Cricetulus griseus: one gene and its partner. The main gene of each other region encodes a partner of the protein of the gene in region 2 in a complex. Links are inferred from orthologs where the notes say so. Each region holds a gene or a part of one and is shown on either strand. Other genes may lie near its edges.

Region 1 (3,586 bases), about 120 Mb from region 2:
GTATGTTTTTCTGGTGGGGGAGAAACTGACAAGAACACATACTTGCTGTTTTTAAACTACTCTGTGGAGTCAAACTGAAACCAAAGATCAGAAATTAGGAAAACAGATTAACGGCGCTAACTTACTTCTTTGGGTACTGACAGTCCACATACATTTAGATCCACGTGGGAAACCCCCAGGAAGAAAGTGAGCATGACTTGGATCAGAGCCCCCAACCTTTCTATTCTAGTATGCCAGGCCATTGCTCTGCCACTGAGTTCCATTCATAAACTTCCCATTCTATACCCTCCTCTTTTATGCCCAGGGCTTTCAGAATGGTAGCTACTGATTCTTCTGCTAATGCTGAGAGCAGGGCAAGTTAGCTGCAAGGGTGTGATATGCCTTAGGATGGTAACAAACTTGTCTTCCTAGAAGAGGCTACCCACAGACTACTAGCTCCACCCAGATTTTAGTCTAACAGGTCCATTACCATAGCACTATTTAGCTGAGGCACTAAGTCTAAAACCCTGGGGCTTTTCAATTCTACTTGGTCCTGGAGTTACCGAATAGACACAAGGTCTAAAGATTAGTTCTGAGATAAGGATCTCCCAGAGATAGCAATTACATTCTACAATAAATATAAAAAGGAAATAGTGTCTATTACTCATAGTGTAGCTACTGAGTTGGTTTCTACAGAGCAGGTCTAGACACATGACTAGACCTTCCCCAAAGCCAAGAAACTACGTCAAATACTTCGTTTGAAGTGCATATCTTCTGACATTTAACAGCATTCCAATTTTTCAAACTTTTACAAATGGAAATGACAAAGGGGAAAATTTAAGCAAAGGCAGTAAGTAAGGGTTAATTACCTGCACTGGCTCCAGACACTGCTTTGGAAATGGCACTGCTGGAAATTGCTCTGTTACGCTTCATTATCTCTTCAAATTCAGCTTCACTCACTGTAGAAGGCGGAGGGCCTGAATCTCGGCTGCAGAGAGGTAACACCAGGTCAGACTACCCACATCCTTTATTACTTTTCACCATATTCTATAGTACTGTTTTTCAATTCTTCTCTAGGATATGTCTCAAATGTTCATTTTTTTCTTCAAGGTCAGGATTTATGTCATATATTATGTTCATAATTTTGGTTTGACTCAAAAGTAATAATCACTGTAGCACTTGCAAAAGCCATTTATGGCACCAAGTTTAATCAAGCTACTTAAACGGAGTTATGAAAAATATGATTTGGGTCAGGTAGGGAAGGTGAAAACAAAATACTAAATAAAAAAACTGATGGAACTGGGGGAATTAACTTAGCCAGTAAATGCTTGCCAGGCAAGCATGAAAACCTGAGTTCAAATGCCCAGAATCCATATAAAAATACCAGGAATAGGGGAGGATGCTTATAACCCCAGTGCTGGGAAAGTAGAGACAGGTGGATCTCTGGGGCTCACTGGCTAGCCAATTTAATCTACTTGGTGAGCTCCAGACCAATGAAAGACTGTCTTAAGCAAGGTGAACAACATAATTGAAGATGACACCAAATGTCCTTTGGCTTCCACATTCGAGTGTATATGAGCACACATGTAGGGGCTGGAGAGATGACTCAGAGGTTAAGAGCACTGACTGCTCTTCCAGGGGTTCTGAGTTCAATTCCCAGCAACCACATGGTGGCTCACAACCATCTGTAATGAGATCTGGTGCCCTCTTCTGGCCTACAGGCATACATGCAGGCAGAACACTGTATACATAATAAATAAGTCTTTAAAAAAAAAGAGATGTTTAAAAAAAAACACACATGCAGCAGCACACATGTGCACTTGCACATACAGGCATGCAAAACATGCCTCTGACAGATACTAATCTATATCCCAGGACTCAACATCACAAAATTATAGAGGAAACAGCATCAGCATTCAGTACTAATTCATATGTACTAATTCATATAAAACAAATGTCTAAAATACTCCCCTCCACCCTCCCTTCTTCCCTCCCTCTCTCTCTCTGCTTTTTTTTTTTTTTTTTTTTTTTTTTTTTTGAGACAGGTTTCTCTGTATAGTTCTGGCTGTCCTGGAACTCACTCTGTAGACCCAGACTGGCCTGCCTCTGCCTGGCAAAATACTGTCTATTAATTTAAGTTAGAGGTCAACCTAGTCTACATAGTGAGACCCTGTCTCAAAAAATAAACACAAAAGCCATGTGTTGTGGTGCACGCCTTTAATCCCAGAACTTGGGAGGCAGAGGCAGCTGGATCTGTGAGTTCGAGGCCAGCCTGGTCTACAGAGCAAGTTCTAGGACAGGCTCCAAAACAATACAGAGAAACCTTGTCTCAAAAAATAAAAACAAAAACAAAAAACAAAAAAACAAAACCCAAACCAACCGGCCAACCAACCAACCAACCAACCAACCAAAAAACAACACGTAAATAAAAACACTAGCTACTATCCTGGCTCAAATCTGCAGGGAAATAGTTACCTGCCATGGTGGTTATAGGGTGTAGAGGCCTTCATATAAGTATCTGGTGGAGGCCCCACTGTAGCATTTGGTGGGGGGAAGAAGGCTGGATTGAGGTGAAGGGCTGGTGGAATGGCCCCAGGGGGAGGTACAGCCAGATGAGGAGGTAATCGAGGAGGAGGGGGCATGAGATGCTGGTAGTGGATACCAGGAGGAGGAGGGGGGACACCAAAGCTTGAGGAGAGAGGTGGTGGGGGTGGAATTGGGGGTGGGGGCAGACCCATCAGGGGAAGGGCTGAAGGAGGACGGTTAAAGTAGGGCAACACGCTGGGGGGCTTATCCACACGAGCAGATGAGGGTACAAGGTTCTCAGAGGGAGTTGCCCGTCCATCAGCAGAATCACTAGAATCTCTGGAGTGGGCCCGTGGAGGTATTCCTGCAAAGCAAAACAGAGCTAATGTTACTGCCCAGGCAGGTTCTGGACATAACAACAGGACCCTCATCCCTCAGCAAGTCATTGGTCACCATACTGAAGATGACAAGTGAAGCAGCTGAGAGAAGCAGCAAATCATTTGGTGCCTTTCTGTTGGTCTGAGTGGAAAGAATGACAAGTGAAACAGCGGAGAGAAGCAGCAAATCATTTAGTGCCTTTCTGTTGGTCTCAGTGGAAAGATCAGAAGTATCTTTTTAAGACAACCCTCCAAAGCAATATGATTCCTAAGTCCTGTATGTCAAAGGATCCTCAAAGTGCTTAGAACACATTTAACCCTTAAACATATTTCCTGTTTTCAAATACATTCCAAACAACCCATGAGAAAATGATGCTGAGGCATTCTCACTGATGTTCTGCTCGATTCTACCTGCCCTGAAATCCTATATCCCCCAGAGTTCAGAGACTCTTAAGGCTACTACAAGTCGACCTTCTTTATTATGCTGTACTCTAGAAAAATTCTCTTTGCCATAGAACTCTGGTCATAAAATTGAAAAACTATCGGAAAAGCAGGAGACAGAGCCATTCTCTATTCACATAATTCTTAGAGAGCCGGCTTTGCTTTCTTGAAGTAGACCACAACAGAACATGATAGTATAGCCTTGAGAGTCTTGCAGGTAGAAAGGTGCTTAGCAAATATGGAGGAGAAAAAGAATGCTTTTT
Region 2 (3,586 bases):
TTTGTAGTTCAGTTGTTTGTTAGTATTGATTCTTACATGGTGGTAAGATTAAAAACCTCAAGATTGTCTTTTAAAGAGTCTTCAGACCTGTTATGTTTTAACAAGTAACTATTCCACCCCAACATCCCATCCCTACCCCACTCCCCCCAAAATCTTGAACTCCTGATTCTAACACCTTCCCTCTCAAGTGCTGAGATAACAGGCTTTCACTGCCATCCTGGGCTTTTGTGGCAGGTTCTTGCTATATAGCCCAGGCTTGGCTCCAAATCAGCCAATCTTTCTCTCTCTATTGCGCACGTGCGCGCGCGCAGTAGTGGGAACTAAACTCCAGTCCTCTGGAAGAACAGCGATTGCTCTTAACTGCTGTGTCATTTTTCAGCCAGCCTGCTTGCCTGCCGGCTGGCCCACCCTTCTCCTTTCCCTCCTCTCTGACTGAATATCCTTGGAAATGCTGTAATTGACCTGGAGCTCCTCAATTAGGCTAAACTGGCTGGTCACTTGCCTCCACTTTACTGGCACCAGGGTTATAAGCACACACATCATATGGGTTTGGGGGATTAAACTCTGTTCCTCATGCTTGGAAGGCAAGTCTCCAAATCTTGATCCTCCTGCTTTAGCCTGTGGAGTGCTAGAATTTTCACAATGTCTGGCTCTGTTTCTTGCAATAGTTTAAGATGAGAATTAAAAATTAAATTACAATCCCAAGGCAATTCTCATCTTGCTTTTTAAGATATTTATTGGCATTTCTCTCTTGAGAGGTTAAGTTTCAAATATATTTCTATAGTCTCTAGAAGACATAGATAACCCAAAATGATGAATGAGAATTGCCTTTCTCCATAAAAGTTTTTTTCAGGCCTGGGGAGGTGGCTTAGGAAAAGTGCTTACTGTGCAAGATTCAGAACCTGAGTTTGGCCCTTCAGCACTCATGTAAGAAGAGGAGCGCAGTGGTACACCTCTGTAAGCCTAGACTGCCAGGCAGAGATAGATAGGTAGAATCTGGGGGTTTCCCTGATCAGCAAGCCTAGCCAAAACAGTGAGCTCCAGGTTCCCCGAGAACCTAAGGAAATTAGGTGGGAAGGGGTTGAGAAGACACCCTGATGGCCACCTCTGGCCTTCACATGTGCTTGCATGGGCGAACACACATCACAGCTTTTCTCAATGTTAAGTTGACTAGTCACAAGGTGGGAGTAAATATCAAATGGAATTAAGGAAATGGAATACTTTTTTGTTGTTGTTTTTATAGCCTTGTTTGCAGTCCCGAAAAATTACAAGCTGGTAGCTGCGCCATTGTTTGAATTGTATGACAATGCACCCGGATATGGACCCATCATTTCTAGTCTTCCTCAGCTGCTGAGCAGGTATGGGAGGTTAAACACTTCTGATGGAGTTATGTAAAATGTCTAGTTAAAAATATTTGGGAGGCAGAGGCAGGTGGATCCTGTGAGTTCGAGGCCAGCCTGGTCTACAGATCGAGTTCCAGAACAACCTCCAAAGCAATACAGAGAAACCCTGTCTAAAGCCCCCTCCCCCCCAAAAAAAAATATTTGGAGCCCCTTGAGAAGTTATAGTTCACAAATTTTAGGGCTTAAGGAAAATAAAGACAGTCCGTGGTTTTTTTCCTCCCCTTCCTGAGACACAGGTTTCTCTGTATAGCCTTGGCTGTTCTGGAACTAGCATCATAAACCAGTCTAGCCTCAAACTCAAGAGATCTGCCTGCCTCTACCTTCCAAATTCTGGGATTAAAGGTGTATGCCAGCATGAGTAAATTCTTATGTGTATGTAATCGATAGATTAAAATACCACTAAAAGTACCCCAAGACTGAAATCATGGAATGATGCTCTTGTATGGTTCTTTCCTTAGATCTGGTATCTTCCACAGGTAAGTTTGAGGTGTATTCAAAGAAGAGATGGTAAAACAGTAAATATATAAAATATGAAGTGGTTGTCTACATAAAAATGTGGAGCCGAGAGGTGATGGCGCATGTCTTTAATCCAGCACTTGGGAGGCAGGTGGATCTCTTGAGTTTGAGGTCATAGTGGTCTACAGAGTGAGTGCCAGGGCAGGCTCCAAAGCTACACAGAGAAACCCTGTCTCAGTCAAATCTTTTAATATAGTTTATTCTCTTTCAGTTTTTGGAACTTACTGTACTTAAGCCTGAATTGGTAAAATGGGATACAGTCTTATAGTTTTATATGGAGTCTGAATTTTGAGGCAAATAGGTGTGTGTGTGTGTGTGTGTGTGTGTGTGTGTGTGCATGAACACACTTTTCATTCTTGAACTTTCAGTAAAATTTTGTGGATTATGCAGTTAGTATTTGGATTTGAATCCCACTTTTTTTATGATTTGTTTTTTATTTTGTGCCCATTGGAGTTTTGCCTGTATGTAGATCTGTGTGAAGCTGTCAAATCCCCTGGAGCTGGAGTTACAGAGAGTTGTGAGCTTCCAGGTGGGGGCTGGGACTTGAACCCAGGACCTTTGGAGCAGCCAGCCTTTGCTCTTAACTGTGGACCCATCTCTTCTACCCCCTTTCAATACTTGCTGGTAGTACAACTTTGGACAAGCTCTTACACTTGTTCGATAGATACTTCATATGCAAATGAGGACGGTAGTTCCTTCATAGGACTGTGGGGACCAACTCAGATAACACATATAAAATGCTTAGAACATAGTACCTGGAAGTGCTTAATACATGCTAGTTTAACAGTCATGGTGTTAGTTTCTGTGGATTGTAGAACTGGCTTGGTGATTGTAGTACTGGCCTTTTTACTTTGTCACTACTTCCTTCAGTTTTTGCTCCTCTGCTTTGGCCTCTTGCTATATCAGGTGACATACATGAGCATATGTATGCACAGAGCAAAGGAAGTGTAACAATGTTTTATGTCTTGAAGGAACTTTTGTAGTTCATAATTAACCAAATTTACACTGTTAATGTTCCAGTGGTAAGTAGTATATAAGCATGGCCAATGAAGGCCAATTGTCTTAGTATAGAAATGCTAAACATGTCCAAGGGGGAGAAACACCCCGGTAATTCCTTCGTTGTTTAAGGTGGGAGCTGTAAAACTAATAATGTTTTTAATAATAGTTTTCTGTTTTTTAAACTCAGGTTCAATTTTATATACAACTGAATTCCTGCACAGAAGTAACGAAGCCGTCTCTGTGAGCACAGCTTACACACATAGAAGAATTGTAGAGAATTTTTGGTTTTCTCTTGTTCCCTAAATTGCCACCTCCTTCCTGTTTGAAGAGTAAAATTAATATGAACTGGATAGTGGTGTAAACATGTGACAGTGTTCATTAATTGTTTGTTCTACTCATACATTTTTTTGTACATTAAAAAAGGTGGACTTCCTATTTGTATTATTATTTTTTTAAGTTTCTCATTAAACTCTGAAAAATCTTATAGTTGAGGATCCTTTTTTCCCTGTTTTAGTCTGGGGAATGTTAAAACATTCTTGTGGTTTAGATGAGGTGAGCTTAATGGGCCTTTTGCTTCAATACTGTTGTAGGCATATAGTCTGAGACTATTATAAGTGTTTCCATTTCTCTGGGGAACTGAATTTATGTGATTACGTCCAAGGCTCAGT

The links.
Region 1: the proteins of Nudt21 (region 2) and Cpsf7 are in contact, whole or in part, in a crystal structure (PDB 3N9U), measured with the Homo sapiens proteins. The link is inferred for Cricetulus griseus from reciprocal best matches to the Homo sapiens genes NUDT21 and CPSF7. Residues at the interface, in NP_008937.1 of Homo sapiens: Arg68, Asn152, Glu154, Pro156, Tyr158, Tyr160, Pro162, Ala163, His164, Ile165, Thr166, Lys167; in NP_001129512.1 of Homo sapiens: Trp91, Trp92, Thr93, Thr94, Asp95, Gln96, Glu112, Lys114, Phe115, Glu117, Asn118, Arg119, Ala120, Asn121, Gly122, Gln123, Ser124.

Annotation. Positions count from the first base shown.
Region 1 is NC_048596.1:49,926,767-49,930,352, forward strand, and holds part of Cpsf7 (cleavage and polyadenylation specificity factor subunit 7), read right to left. Parts: intron 2,870-3,586; coding exon 2,455-2,869; intron 968-2,454; coding exon 849-967; intron 1-848.
Region 2 is NC_048596.1:170,214,362-170,217,947, reverse strand, and holds the end of Nudt21 (cleavage and polyadenylation specificity factor subunit 5), read left to right. Parts: intron 1-1,243; coding exon 1,244-1,358; intron 1,359-3,105; coding exon 3,106-3,127; 3' UTR 3,128-3,353; downstream 3,354-3,586. UniProt on the Homo sapiens protein: Component of the cleavage factor Im (CFIm) complex that functions as an activator of the pre-mRNA 3'-end cleavage and polyadenylation processing required for the maturation of pre-mRNA into functional mRNAs.